Linked DNA regions of Rhinolophus ferrumequinum. The protein of the gene in region 1 interacts with the protein of each later gene in a pairwise test. Links are inferred from orthologs where the notes say so. Each region holds a gene or a part of one and is shown in the gene's direction. Other genes may lie near its edges.

Evidence for each region. The genes of interacting proteins can lie anywhere in the genome.
Region 2: the proteins of BNIP3 (region 1) and BCL2 interact in a two-hybrid assay, tested with the Homo sapiens proteins (2 studies listed by BioGRID and IntAct). The link is inferred for Rhinolophus ferrumequinum from reciprocal best matches to the Homo sapiens genes BNIP3 and BCL2.

Annotation. Positions count from the first base shown.
Region 1 is NC_046299.1:993,241-1,000,647, forward strand, and holds the start of BNIP3 (BCL2/adenovirus E1B 19 kDa protein-interacting protein 3), read left to right. Parts: upstream 1-4,303; 5' UTR 4,304-4,460; coding exon 4,461-4,506; intron 4,507-7,407. UniProt on the Homo sapiens protein: Apoptosis-inducing protein that can overcome BCL2 suppression. May play a role in repartitioning calcium between the two major intracellular calcium stores in association with BCL2.
Region 2 is NC_046302.1:50,485,017-50,492,300, reverse strand, and holds the start of BCL2 (apoptosis regulator Bcl-2), read left to right. Parts: upstream 1-4,241; 5' UTR 4,242-4,391; intron 4,392-4,647; exon of another isoform or gene 4,648-5,237; 5' UTR 5,238-5,387; intron 5,388-5,607; 5' UTR 5,608-5,892; coding exon 5,893-6,456; intron 6,457-7,284. UniProt on the Homo sapiens protein: Suppresses apoptosis in a variety of cell systems including factor-dependent lymphohematopoietic and neural cells. Regulates cell death by controlling the mitochondrial membrane permeability. Appears to function in a feedback loop system with caspases.

The DNA of each region.
Region 1 (7,407 bases):
ATATTCTTAGATATGTTTTGTTGTCACTCTTATGAGATGTTTTCCATTTTCAAATTGGTCACTGCTAGCCTTTAAAAAAGCTATTGATTTGTGTATGCTTACCTTATGACACACATTATTAAATTTTTATTTGTTCAAAGACTTTCTCCATTGATTGTCCTGAATCTTCAGAGAAACAATTTTATTATTCTGTGTTAATCCACTGCTTTAATTAACAGATACTAACTGAACCCCTGCTGCCTGCCGGGCCTGCCCTCAGGGAACCTACCTGGGGGGATGAGGTGGGTCAGTAGTAGCAGTCTCGCCTCCTCCTTTTTGGTGTTGTGAAATTTTCCTTCCTCCTTCCTGTCTTCTGGCACGGCCTCAGACCTCAGAGCTCGGGCTGCTGACAAGCCCCTGGCCTGCTGCTGACTTCACGGGGATGCCACGGTGTCACCCATCGTGGGCTTCAGGTGCGCTACTTTTACCAGGGCGGTGTCTCTGTTGTGAGTGTAATAGAAGCCAGCTTGGAGTGCCGGGAGAGGAGAAGGGATTTCCTGATGGGTTCTGGAGGGCTCACAGAGTTGCTGTTTTGAAGGCCCAAGTCCTAGCCTTGAAACATGGGCAGGAATGAGGGCAGCTACACAGTGGTACGCCTGGTCCCAAGGATGGATGGCTGGCACTCTGGGCGCTGGGGCCCGGCACCTCCTGCTGGGTGCTGGGTGCTGGGTGCTGGAGGCTGCTCTGGTATTTCCGTTTCTCTAGACCAAAAGGCAGGACGTCACGCAGCGTGCAGGGCTTCAGGTGAGGGCAAGGAGGAAGGAGCCCACGTCCCCCCACTGCCCTCTCCCCCGCCCAACTTACTAAGTTTGTTTCTAGCGTGTGTTCATGTCAGAAATGCACATGAAATTATTTTTGCTTCTAAAATGATTATTTTTAGTCTTTGATCTGTCAGGTATTTTTTAAGATCCTCAAGCTACTTTTTCTTCTTTAATCTTTTGTTAAATATGTGGTCAAACCATCCCTACCGTCCCAGGAGAGAACTTACATGGTTGTAATGGATTCGTCTTCTGTTTGCTGTCAGTTCAGTCAGTACTTTTCCATGCATATTCCTAGGTGACTATAGCTCAATATTTTGTTTCCTACTATGAAAGCATGATGCGAAGTTAGAATCAGGGTTGTACCGACCCCATAGAATGAACTGGTAAAATCTCACTATTGACTACAGCCTGAAAGCACACGGAAATGCTCCCCGATCTAAAGGTTGGGCAGAAACTTGTAAAACTGCCTGAGCTCTGTCTCTGGGGAAATCAGACCGTCAGCCACGTGCCAATCACTTCCACTGCTTCAGAGGCTCTCCTTTCCTGAATCAACTTTATATTTTCCTGAAAAATAATTTTATTCAGGTTTCTTTTTTTAACTATAAAAGTGTATATGATTTTATATCATATTTTAAAATTTCCTCTGAATTTATAATCAGATCCTCATGTAGTGCTCAAAATGTCATTTATCACCAAAGATTTGAAATTAATGAAGGCAAATATGTTTTCTAACTCATTAATTTTGCTTTAATTTTTATTAATTTTATAATAATGTTACAAATGTATTAATTTCTTTTATTTAGGGTTTTTTCCTAGCTTTTTAAACTACCTAGTTCATTTCTTTTATACCTTGTCCTAAAATGCATTTAATACTATACATTTTCATACGAGTGGCATTTAATATATTGTTTTTAATAAATTTTATTTTTATGACTAATTTAGAACGACAGAAAAATGATGAATCCAATAGTAGAGTGAGTTCCCACACACCCTACACCTAATTTGCCGTTATTAACATCTTACGTGAGTAAGACTTATGCTAATCAGATTTCCTCAGTTTTTCCCTACTGTCCTCATGTCCCAGGATCTCAGTTTTGAGACTCCTGTCTCCTTGGGCCACTGTTGGCCATCGCCGTTTTTCAGGGTAGGCCAACTGGAGCAGATCTTCAAGCCACGCGTTTTCTTTCCCATTTCCCACTTGCATTTTCCTTGATCCCCAACTCTGACTGGGGGCTCCTCAGGCTTCCCCTGGGCAGCCTGACCCACCCTGTCTGCTATAACCTTCCCCGGGGCACTAAGCAGCTTTACAGTGACGCTGTTGGAAGTTAGGCCTCAGGGCTCCCTGGGTGGGGACATGAAATGATGGAAGTTGCTGGGACCTGTTAACGTAAGAATGTCCAAACCTGTAGATTACTTCTTATAAAAATGTATTTGGGCCAAACAGAGGATACACCTGGAAGCAAGATCTCAGCAGACTGAGATAAATGTTTGGAGAATAAGTTTGCAGTTTCTTTTATGCATATGAGATTAGGAAGGAACTAAGGAAGATTTCAAGGAGGTGGGAAGGAGCAAGGCGGGGATTGGATTACAGGACAGTTAAGATTACAGTGCTCTCTTGAGGGTGGTTCTGCTTCTTTCAAAGGCTGTTAACCTGGATGCACAGAAACAATGGACAGGGCTGCTTACAGCAAAGAGAAACCTTTTGCTAAAGAAGTTACAGACCTGGGGTGGGACTACTCACCGCGACCTGCCCTGCCCGTTAGGAATTTGTGATCAGATCACTCTGAGGTTACTTTCCGTGGAGCTTCTTCCCCCCCCCCCCCACAGACTGGTAGAGTGTTCTAGATGGGGAGGGAAAATCAGGTTGCAAAAAGAAACATTTCCATTTAAACATTTCTGGGTCATCGGCCTAGAGAGACTTAGAGGGCTTATGAAATGTACACGTTCCGGTGAGCTTAGCAGGTTGAGGGGTGAGGAGACATACAAAAGTCCGTGATCATTGTACATATTAGCAATAAAAAAATCAAACGAAATTTCACAATATGGTAACATTAGAAATAGGCCTATTTAGGGAATGTCTGTCAAGTGCGCAGACGCTGTACACTGAAGAGCACAGAACCTGCCGAGAAGTGAGAACACCTGAACAGCGGACAAGCAGCCTGCGCTCAGGGGTTGGGAGACGGGACAGCTTCCCCAGTGATGCTTCCCCAGGCAGTCGTCCCAGTAAAGGGCCCAGAGAGAAGAGGCAGGCGTGGGCACATTCTATGAGGGGACGTGCCATTTGTGTCCGTGTGGGGCAGCTGTGTCCCGTGCGTCCGCTGCTGCACCCATCCTGAACACTGCAGTGACAGGGGCGCTTGGAAAAGACTTGCTGAATAAAGGAGAACTAACGTTTGAATGGAAAGAAAGGCCAGAACCTCTACATCCAGAAAGAAGGCTAAGCTTAGTGCCCCTCTCAAGGGCATCCTTACCTAGAATGGAAACAAAGACACCCCCCCCCAGGTGAGGACAGCAGGGGCTGCTGCCCCAGAGCGTGCTTGGCACCCGTCCCCGTCACTGGGTTTGGCAGAGACCCAAAGGCAGGCAGGGGAGTGGGAGACTTCACAGTGGAAAGGGAGGCTCCAGGTGTGTCCCCATGGAGGCTGGGACCGGAAAGCCTGGAGCAGGGGACACCGAGATTGGTCAGGGCGGCGTCTGGCTTTCTGTGGTGGGTCCTGAGCTGGCAGCGGGGACAGAAATTGGGGAAGCTGTCAGTTATGGATCAAGTCCGGCCGTTTGGGGCTGACTGTTACAGGGCTGCTGTGTGGCTTCCAGTTGCTAGAGACACTGGTCTCACTTCCTGCCAAGAGAGGAGGCTGGGCTCCTGGTTGGTCACTGCAGGTGAGGGGCTGCTGCCTGGCTGGTGGCCGCGGGTGTGTCTCAGTTCTGTCTTCACAGATGGCTTAGCCCCGGTGTGTTTCCACGCAGTCCACTAGCGAGCCCTGCGGTCCTCGGCTGTCCGGTTTTCGCATTGCCCGGTGTCGAGTTTACTGCCTTTACTGTGTTGGAGGGAGAACAGCAAACTCAGCAGCGTTAAAGACAGCCCGGGGGCCTCAGCGTCCAACCCGGCCCGCGCAGCCGCACGCCCGTGCTCACCTGCACCTCGCCCGCGTCCACCGGTGGGACGCGCGTCCGCCGCGAGCTCCGTCCGCAAGGCGCCCAGGCCTGGCGGGACCAACAGGTACTGAGCCCCTCCCACGGTGCCCCGCCTCTCCAGCAGTTTAGCCCCGCCCACCCGGACCCCGCCCCGCCCACCCCGGGCCCCCGCCCCGCCTGCGTACGCACGCCCCGCCCCTCAGACCCCGCGCACGAGCGCTCGGATCGCCAGGCGACGCCTCTGCTCCACCCCGCGCACGCGCCGCACGCGCCGCACGCGCCCCGCGCGCCCCACGCCCTGCGTACGCGCAGGCCCCTCCTCGCGGCCAATCGGCGACGCCGCCGCTTTTCCGCTGTTTATCTGCGGTGCGTCTGCCGGCGCGCGTCAGTCAGTCGGGGTCCTGGGCTGACGCCGCTGTAATTGTTGGGCCCGCGCTCGTGCTCCAGCTGCCGCCGGTCTTCTTTGCAGCGCCCGGCGCCCACCCGATCCCGGCCCGGCGGCCGCTGCGCCCTCCTTCCGGCGCCATGTCGCAGAGCGGGACACCCGGACTACAGGAGGAGAGCCTGCAGGGTGAGCCTCGCGGGATCGGGGCGGGGAGTGCTGAGGGGAGGCCGTGGGGACGCGGGGACGCGAGTGAGGCGGGCGGGACCTGTCGGGGCCCCTTCACGGCGAGGCCAGGCCGCCGGGACGGTCGCCGGCGCGAGGCTGCGCCCACCTCGCGGGTCGTCCCTGCGCACGGCGGGCAGGTGGCGGCTGGCTGCCCGTGGGGCCAGGCGGCCGGCGGGGCCCCCGGGACGTGGGGGCCGTGCGGGGCCGTGTCCGGGGCGCACGGCTGCCGCGCCCGCGGACAGTGGATCCTGGGGAGGGGCCGAGCTGGGGGGTTGGCGCGGACGCCGGCCGAGGCCGGCGAGGAGCCTGAACTGTCCGGCTCGGGGCAACTGGAAGCGCCGTCTGCGAGTCGCGTCTCGGGTCCGAATGGCTTCTTCAGGGCCACGTTTCCACGTTCTGTGGTGAGACCAGTGGGTTTCAGGAGCAGAAGCCGGGTGTGACGTGGGCTTGCACGGGCGTTAGTAGTAGAGCGTGGAGCGTCCTGGCCGCCGGGACCGGTCGGAGGAAGGAGGGCAGGGGGTTGCCCGTGATGCAGACGGGCCCGCGGCCCCCGGCCGCGCTTCTCCGCGGAACAGATGGACGGTGCTCGGAGCAACTGCCGTGGGCTGCGGGCAGGCCGCTCTTTACGTTCGCCTGGGCTAGAGGGTCGTCCCCAGACAACAGGGATGTGCGGGCGGGAGAGTGGAAGCTGGAGGACCTGGGGCACCCGGCGCTGCCGCTCGTGCGCGGGGCCTTGGCGATTCCAGACCCGCGGGCGCGGAGGGTTGCTGTGCTGCTTCGTGGGTCGGTGGCAGCCGTGCGGTCCGCCCTCTGGCCTCGCGTCGGCCGCGCGGCCGCTCGGGGGGGCCCGGGAGCGGGGGAGGAGGAGCCCGCGCGTCACCTTTGCGTTCTCGGGGGCAAGAGTTGACTCGGCAGGAGGAGCGTGAGTAAGCGTCGGAGAGGACTGTTCAGACCTGAGCGTGAGCTTAAACCCTAACGTTGTTCAGATAAGTTCAGTGAGCTGCTAGGTTTTTTCTTAGTCCTTAAAGCAGCATTGTATTTTTATTAGGCGAGGCTGAATTAGCCTAATGCGTTGTGTGTCGTGTATTTTAAAAGTACAACCACTTTTTTTTTATTAGTTTCAGGTGTACAAAACAATGTACTAATTAGACATTTACATCCTTCATAAAGTGGTAACCCCCCCGTCTACTACCCCCAGTCCACTACCTCTCTGACATGGTGTGTGACTGTTACAATCCCATTGACTGCCTTCCCCATGCTGTAGTTTATGTACGTGTGCACACTTACATATATTTAATCATTGTTGACATTTTATATTATTTTACTTCGGCTGCAGATGTATATAGCGCAGCGGTCAGGCATCCACACAGTCCATGAAGTGATCCCCCTGATAAGTCCAGTGCCCATCGGGTACCTTCCATCATCTTTACAGCTCTGCCGGTTATATTCCCCAAACTGTACTTCGTGTCCCCGTGACTGTTTTGTGACTACCGGTTTGTTCTTTCTAATCCCCTCACCTGCTCCCTCATCCCCACCCCCCTCCCATCTAGCAACCACCACTTTTTTCTTTATATCTCTGAGTCTGTTTCTGTTTTGTTTGTTTATTCTGTTGTTTAGATTCCACATATAAGTGAGATCACATGGTATTTGTCTTTCTCAGTCTGACTTATTTCACTTAGCATAATGTTCTTTAGGTCCATCCATATTGCAAATGATAAGATTTCATTCTTTTTCATAGCCAAGTACAACCACATTTTTAAAATCCTGTAATCTCCTTAAATTTTGAAATTGACTGTTTTCTTTGAACTGGATTAAGGAATTAATCTTTTCTGTCTTTTTTCACGCAGGATCCAGGGGGTATTTCATAAACTCTTGGCCTTAGAATCATTCTTTTCCTAATTACCAAACTACTTAACTTCTGCCGCTGTGTTTCACTGGCTCAGATTTAGCCTCTGGAAGAGTTCTGAGCCCTCCAGAGGGGCTTCCTGACTGACACCAAACAGCTGAGTCACTGGCAATGCAAAATCACCAGCTCGTGAATTAAAAGATTTGCTTTGTGTTTTGCTTATTCTATAAAAAGATGGTTACACAGGGAGTGGAAACTCATGGTAAGGATTCCCGAGTGTACTAGTGTGTACGTGCTGTAGGGCACTCCACTTGCTCACCGTCCAGCTCCGGCTGGGAGGAGTCAGTCACTGGGCAGCTGCCCCACGAAATGTGAGCCGCATGGATTCTGGATTCGCTGGAGCAGGCGTGTCCTCCGTGTGCTGTTTTGATTTGGTTCCCTCTTGTTTACCTCACATGACAACTGAGAGCTTTGGTTGCCAAACTCCGACAGCAGCAAACGGTTTCCCCTTTGCTTGTATCTGGCACCAGGATGTTCTCCCCAAGGAGTGAACAGCAAAATGGATGTGTGTTCCCCCCTTTCCCTGGTCCATTCTAGTTAGAGCTGTTGACTTGCAAGGTGTTCTGTGCCTTTTTCTTCTTAGATGCACAACTGCTGACATGCATGTTGTTGTGTCACAGTGTCACGGGAGTGGTGCGTGGCTTACTTCCCAGAAGGCCCCCTTCTGAGCAGAGCTGCTCATGGGTGCAGGCGTCAGTTCAGTCAGTGCTCAGCCCTTTGCTCTGAGACGCCCCCACCCCTGTTACTGCTGTGTATGGGGACAGTGCTCGTCTTGGCAACTCACCACGTGGCAGCTCCCCACGGACAAAGGTGTATGAAGAGGAAAATAATTCATCTTTCCTGTGGAGGGGAATGTGGAGCTTGCAGTTTGGGAGTATAAAGGGGTTTCAGGCATTAAATCGTAGCCCAACCCCTGCATTTCATAGAGGGTTGCAGTGAGGCCAGAGGGTAAGTGA
Region 2 (7,284 bases), on another chromosome or scaffold:
TGCACTTCAGGGAGACAAACAGATATGCAAAGGCAAAAGTCATGAGAGAGCTTGGCATATTCCAGACAGCACACAAAGCTAATGAAGATGCGAGAAGGGAAAGTGGAAGGGCACCCAGGTGGTAGGCTTGGGCCACATCATGCTGTGCAAAAGGAGTTGAGATTTTAGCCTGTGTAGAACTTTGAATGGAAACATGAAATGGCCAGATTTCAGTTTTCGAAAGATTATGGTTCCCCTTGAAATTTAGGGGTTGCTGAGTCCTTGGGCCCTGGAATAAACAATCCTCATTTATTCGAGAGATACCATACTGTGTTTCCCTGAAATAAGACTGGATCTTATATTAAGTTTTGTTCCAAAAGTTGCATTAGGGTTTATGTTCAGAGGATGTCATCCTGAAAAATCATGCTAGGGTTTATTTTCTGGTTAGGTCTTATTTTCGGGGAAACACAGTATTAGATACATACTGTTATGGGTTCAGTTGTGTGCCCTCAAAAGATGTTAACATCTTAACCCCCAGTTCTTGTGAATGTGGCCTTATTCAGAAATAGGATCTTTACTAAAATAAGTAAGTGAAGATGAGGTTATTAGGATCCTAATCCAATATGACTGGTGACCTTATAATAGAAAACAGACACACTGGGAGGCCATGTGACAACAGACGCGGAGATCAGAGTGATGGAGCTGCAAGCCAAGGAACAACAAGGATGGACAGCCACCACCAGAAGCCGGAAGAGGCCAGGAAAGTTTTTTCTCTGGAGCCTTCAGAGGGCCCATGACTCCACTGACACCTTGATTTTGGGCTTTAAGCCTCCAGAACTGTGGGAGAATAAAGTTCTGTTTTAAGTCACCCAGTTTGTGGTATTTTGTTATGCCAGTCCTAGGAAACAAACATATTAACCTTGATTTTTCTAAATGTGTTCGTCAGGAATTAACATCTGGGAGATACTGCGCTGTGTGCTAAATAGCATTATGAGAATAAAAGTTAGTTTTTGCACATTAAGAATGTAAATGCTTTGTCAATTACCCCCTTAGTACTATGGTGTTTCATGTTGTTTGGTTTTATTACTGCAGTTTCGATCCAACGACAGCAGTAGGCGTTTGAAAAATATAAGTTCCTACTCTTATTTCACTTCAAAAGCCAAGTCGTTAATTTGAAAGGAAAAAATTGCCACAAGTGAATTGCTGGCACTTTCCTTTGTAAACCAAAAGTAAACATTATTTGCCCACTGTTAAACTTGCACAAGGAATGATTTATCTGCTTTTCATTGCCTACTTTCAAAGGTTGTTGCTTAATTATTCTAAATATTTTTTGAGGTTTAAGACCCATCATAAATTAGTCAGGTGGGTTTCTCTGTTAAACCAAAGCTTGTTGGTTTAGATTTGGCAAGGGTTTCCCGATGATGCCAAGGATAGTTTCGGGGCGCGCAGCAGATGACTCCCTTGTGATCACTCTTACAGAAGAAAGGCTCTAGAGCATAAGTGAATCAGAAACAGTGTTACTGTTCATATCAATATTAGTAACTAATTAGTAACATTATTATATAATGTTTGCCAACAAAGTATACAAACCCTCTGAGAGTGTGGTACTACTTAGCATAGAGTTTATAATGTATAAGATTTATGCCAATTATATCTCAATAAAGCTGGAACTAATTGAGAAGATAGATATTTGAAATTGGAAATCAGTGTTTTGGATTTTTTATCTAGGTGTGTGAGATGTTATTTTTTAAGTAGTTCATTTTTCTTATTTTATGAAAACGATATAGACTACTTGTTTCTCTCCAGTCAGTTTGTTTTGTTTATGGATTTATTTCCACTTCAGTGTACCTAAATTGTTCGGGTCATGTTTTATATTTTTAACTCTTTCATCTTACCGATTAGGTGTCCACTCCCTTTCAGTTAATGATGACTTTCCTCATTTTAAATAAAAAATTTAATAGTTGGGAAGATTTAATACATACCTATAATAAACACTAGTACATCCAGATTAGAATAATGTTCTTTTTGAATTTCATAAACTTTGGAAATATTTATATTGGTAATGGATGAAGAGAGCCTTCTGAATGATACTGTTAAACATTAACCAGTAGGTGGCGAAAACTGGCAATAAAAAGCTTTTTGTTTGGTAGACTGGAGAATAAAGAGGGAAAACACAGGCCTCCTAGAATCTACCCTCCTAGAATCCAGCCAGGCAGGCAAAGCTGGCAAACGGGTCGTCCATTGGCTCTTAAAAGTGGAAGACATTTTGGGAAATGAAAAGCCCACAGAGCAACATTTGCAGTTGTTGGAAGGTCTCCGTCACAGATCTAGGATTCAAACCCAGGACTCCTGATAGCCCTGTGCTCTGTCACCACCTCACCAATGCCCAGACACAAAGAGTTAATTCACACACTTCTGAGGAAAACACTTGACCTCACTCTTTAAAGTGGAATCTAATAAACATGGAATCTGAATGAAGGGTTTCATTCCTTCCATTGAAAGAGTATCCAGAACCTTCCCAGGGAATATAAACCCTAGCTAAGGACTGTAATGCAGACCTATCCTAAGAATGGTTATGCTCAAGATGCCACATAAGGAATCAGTCTGGGGACATTTGTAAAGTGTGGCTCTAGGGAGCAAAGGAGAGGGAGAAACAAGGAAGCTTTTCTTTCCCTGGGAATGGCGGTATGTTTCGTTCCGGCTGTCCCCTTTGCAGAAGTACAGTCTCTTTTCCAGCTCTGTCCTTTCATTTCCTCACTCAAATGCTGGGTCTCAGAAGCACTAAGGCTTTCAATTCCTCTTAAATCATTTTGGGGGTTTAAGACACGGTTCTGAGAAGATCCTTAAACCAGAATGCTGTGGCATTAGGCGGGTTTCTACTATTTCTGTGGGAATATGTATCTCAGGTCAATCTATACCCAGTGTCTATCTGCAGGCCAGAACACCTCTCCGCCACTGCCGTTGGTAAAGGGGGACTCTGTCACAGCCAACAGAAGACAGAATGGAGCGTCTTCCTTTACTCCCTCTTGCCTAAATGCAAAGTTTAGACCACACACCCATTCCTACATGCAAGAGGTTGGCATGGGGGCTGATTGGGTATGAAAGATGAAGAAAGGGGAATAATTTGCTGTGCTTTTTTTGCTTAGGAATAAATGCTTTGATTTTAGACTAGGAATGAGGCAAAATAGTGTCAGACAGTATATCTGTATATAGTGCAGTGCTCATTTGTCATATTTCTAAGACCACAATTATCCAGTGTCCCTATATATTTGTACTTGAGCCCTATTAAGCAAGCTGCTGTGCTTGTAGTAAACATTTTTTCTCGGGGCTTTATATGTCAAAGACTCTGAGGGATAAAAATAGTTAACGTGCAATTTGATTGTGCTCTTGTGCTTTTCTCCTGGGGCTACCAATGCTGATGAATTAAAAAATGTGTTCTTGTGTGTACATGTGTGTGAAATTGTGTGTATGTGTGTGTGTGTGTGTACAACTGAGAAGGTGTGGCCATCTAGGATTGGCTGCTAGGCGACTGTGGAGGCCTTTAGAGACCCACCCACCCTGGTGTTGGGACTGTGGGCCTAAAGTCGCCCCGTGGACCTCCGCAGCGGACAGTCCTAACTCTGTACCAGGAGCAGAGAAAAAACATTGACAGAACCATTTCAAAGCCCTTGATATCCCCCACTCGCCCCTCCACCGGCCCGCTGAGAGCTCTCTCTGGCCTTGGTCACGGATGGTGTCCCAGAATGTGTTCCGCGTGGACACCTAGGAGGCAACTTTAAAGTAAACAAGACGCTTGGGGCTTCCCTGGCTAATGAATGTGCAGCGTCGCCTCTCTTTACGGGAGGGCAGCGCTGAGGTCCCTGTGCTCGGGTCAGCATCGGCCTCGGTCGTCTCTCAGGCGGCGGCCAAGCGCTGGTAACACGATGTACACACACACGGCTAGAAAGGATCGCAGTTTTTTTTTTTTGTTTTTTTTTCCCGGCGCCCTCCCTGCGCACCCACCCGCCGCCAACCCGGGCGCGTCCCATTTCCCGGGCACCCCCGGCCCCTCGCCGGCCCCCGAGCGCGCGCCCAGCCCGCCGCAGGCCCGAGGAGGCCCCGCGCACACCCACCGCGCCGCGGCCGCGCGGGAGGCCTGCGCCACCCGCGCCACCCACCGGCCAGGCGGGCGGAGCGGCCCGGGAGGGCGGGGGCCGTGCTAGGCGCGCCCTCCCCGGCCGCGGCCCTGCGCGCCATGTGTTCCCTTCCCGGCGCGCCGCTCCCGGCCCGGCAGCGGCTCCTTTAACCCGGGAAGGAGAGCGGGGCGGAGGGGCGGTGGGGCCGCTCAGAGGAGGGCTCTTTCTTTCTTCTTTTTTTTGAATGAACAGTGTGACGTACGTACAGGAAACCAGTCGATTCGAACGGAGAATGAAGTAAGAGGCCAGGCCCCCCCGCCCGCCCCCTTCCTCCCCGCCCCCTCCCCCGCCCGCCGCCCTCCTGCCCGCCCTCCCGCCGCTCTCGGTTTCCCCTTGGAACCGTCGCCGCTGCCAGCGAAGGTGCCGGGCGCCGGGCCCTCCCCACCGGCACGGCCGTCATCGCCGGGAGCGGGTGCGCGGCGGGAGCGCCGGAGACGGCCGCCGCCAGCGCCGCCGCGCAGGAGCAGGAGGAGGAGAAAGGGTGCGCAGCCCGGAGGCGGGGTGCGCCGGTGGGGTGCAGCGGAAGAGGGGGTCCAGGGGGGAGAACTTCGTAGCAGTCATCCTTTTTAGGAAAAGAGGGAAAAAATAAAACCCTCCCCCACCACCTCCTTCTCCCCACCCCTCGCCGCACCACACACAGCGCGGGCTCCTCGCGCTCGGCACCGGCGGGCCAGGCGCGTCCTGCCTTCATTTATCAAGCAGCTTTTCGGAAAAATGCATTTGCCGTTCGGAGTTTAATCAGAAGAGGATTCCTGCCCCCGTGCCCGGCGCGTCCACCGGGCCCCCAGTCCCCGTGTCTCTCCCGGGGAGGCGTGGAGCGGTCCCGCGGATAGGGGTCCATGTCTGTGCCCGCGCGTGTGTGCGCGCGTGTAAATTGCCGAGAGGGGGGAAATCACAAGACTGCAAATACTGGACTGAAAATTGTAATTCATCTGCTGCCGCCGCCGCTGCCTTTTTTTTTCTTTTTTTTTTTTTTCTCGTGCTGGAGATCTCCGGTTGGGATTCCTGCGGATTGACATTTCTGTGAAGAAGTCTGGGAATCAATCTGGAAATTCTCCTAATTTTTACCACCCTCCTCCGCAGCCCCCTCCAACTCCTGATTCATTTGGAAGTTTTAAAGCAGCTATAACCGGAGAGTTCTGAAGATCGATGGACTCTTTGCCTTATGCATTTGTTTTGTTTTCACAAAAAAGGATACTTGACAGAAGATCATGTTGTCCTTAAAAAATACAAGTAAGTTCTTTGCACAGGAAATTGGTTTAATGTAACTTTCAATAGAAACATTTGCGATTTTGTCTTTAAGTGCATTCGAGTAAGTTTAATTTCCGGCCAGTTTAATACATTCTTTTTAGCCGTGTAACTTGTAGTGTGTATGCTCTGCTTTCACCCAGTGTATACAGGAAAATGCACCTGATCTGGACTTATCAGTTTTGTTTTTTTTTTAACCTTTCAGGATCACGAAGGAAGTAGATTGATATTGACAATAAGTAATAATAATGTGCCTCATGAAATAAAGATCCGAAAGGAATTTAAATAAAAATTTCCTGCGTCTCATGCCAAGAGGGAAACACCAGAATCAAGTGTTCCGCGTGACTGACGACACCCCCTCATCCAAGAATGCAAAGCACATCCAATAAAATAGCTGGATTATAACTATTCTTCTTTCCTTCGGGGCCGTGGGGCGGGAGAGGCGGCGAGAGGTGCTGTTGGTACCCGGCTGCTTTTCCTCGAGGGAAGGATGGCGCACGCTGGGAGAACAGGGTATGATAACCGGGAGATAGTGATGAAGTACATCCACTATAAGCTGTCGCAGAGGGGCTACGAGTGGGATGCCGGAGACGCGGGCGCCGCGTCCTCGGGGGCAACCCCCGCGCCGGGCATCTTCTCCTCCCAGCCCGAGCGCACCCCGGCGCCCGCCAGGACCTCGCCGCCGCCGCCGCTGGCTGCCCCCGCTGCCGCCGCAGGGCCTGCGCTCAGCCCCGTGCCACCTGTGGTCCACCTGACCCTGCGCCAGGCCGGCGATGACTTCTCCCGTCGCTACCGCCGCGACTTCGCCGAGATGTCCAGCCAGCTGCATCTGACGCCCTTCACCGCGAGGGGACGCTTTGCTACGGTGGTGGAGGAGCTTTTCAGGGACGGGGTGAACTGGGGGAGGATTGTGGCCTTCTTTGAGTTCGGTGGGGTCATGTGTGTGGAGAGCGTCAACCGGGAGATGTCGCCCCTGGTGGACAACATCGCCCTGTGGATGACCGAGTACCTGAACCGGCACCTGCACACCTGGATCCAGGATAACGGAGGCTGGGTAGGTGCATGTCTGGTTGGATGTGAGTCTGGGCTTCGCGTCTCTGGTCAGGGATGCGGTGGTTGCAGTGTGCGCGTGTGTTCCTGGGCCAAGGGCAGGCTGATGAGCCAGTGACGTAAATCAGGTGTGGTGCTTCCCACCTCTCCCCCTGCAAAGAGCTCTCCCTGCCAACCACACTGTGATCATTCCTTCCTGCCCAAAGTGTTTTCCTTGCTTGTCAGCTGTTGAGGTTCCAAGATCCAGCATTTGCTGTACAGTGAAATCTTGGGATAAATGGTTATCCCTTCAGGGTTTCTCAAACTGGGGGTCCAAGGGTCCCCAGCATCACAGTTTACCTGGCTGGAGTCGGTTATTGAATTCGGGGATTTCAGGGACTACTCATGAACCAGACCCCAGGTTGGGTCCTGGCAATCAGCATCCTAAACAAACTCCCCTGGGGGTTTCTTCTTTGTATTAAAATTTGGGAACCACCCAATTACAAGAACACACTGCACCAGAAAACCTCGGGCGTGCCTTTTCTGACACCCACCTGGTAAAAATCTACCCAAAGCAGAAAACCAGTGTAGCCCCTTTCCCTGGAAAGCATAGCTGTGTTTGTAAAGAGGTAAGTTGACTTTCCAGAAGTCTGGGGACTCCAGCCGGAGTGTGTGCCACATTCCAGTGGGCATCACCGAGTATCTTGCACTGGACGTTGTCTCACCACGAACAGAATTTGCATCGGCTGTGTGCTTTGTGTTCCACTTCTGTAACTGGTGTACGATTTTACAGTTTACTGGAATTTTAGTATCTTTGACTTTTCATCACCAAAATCCACATCATTTGGTGGTT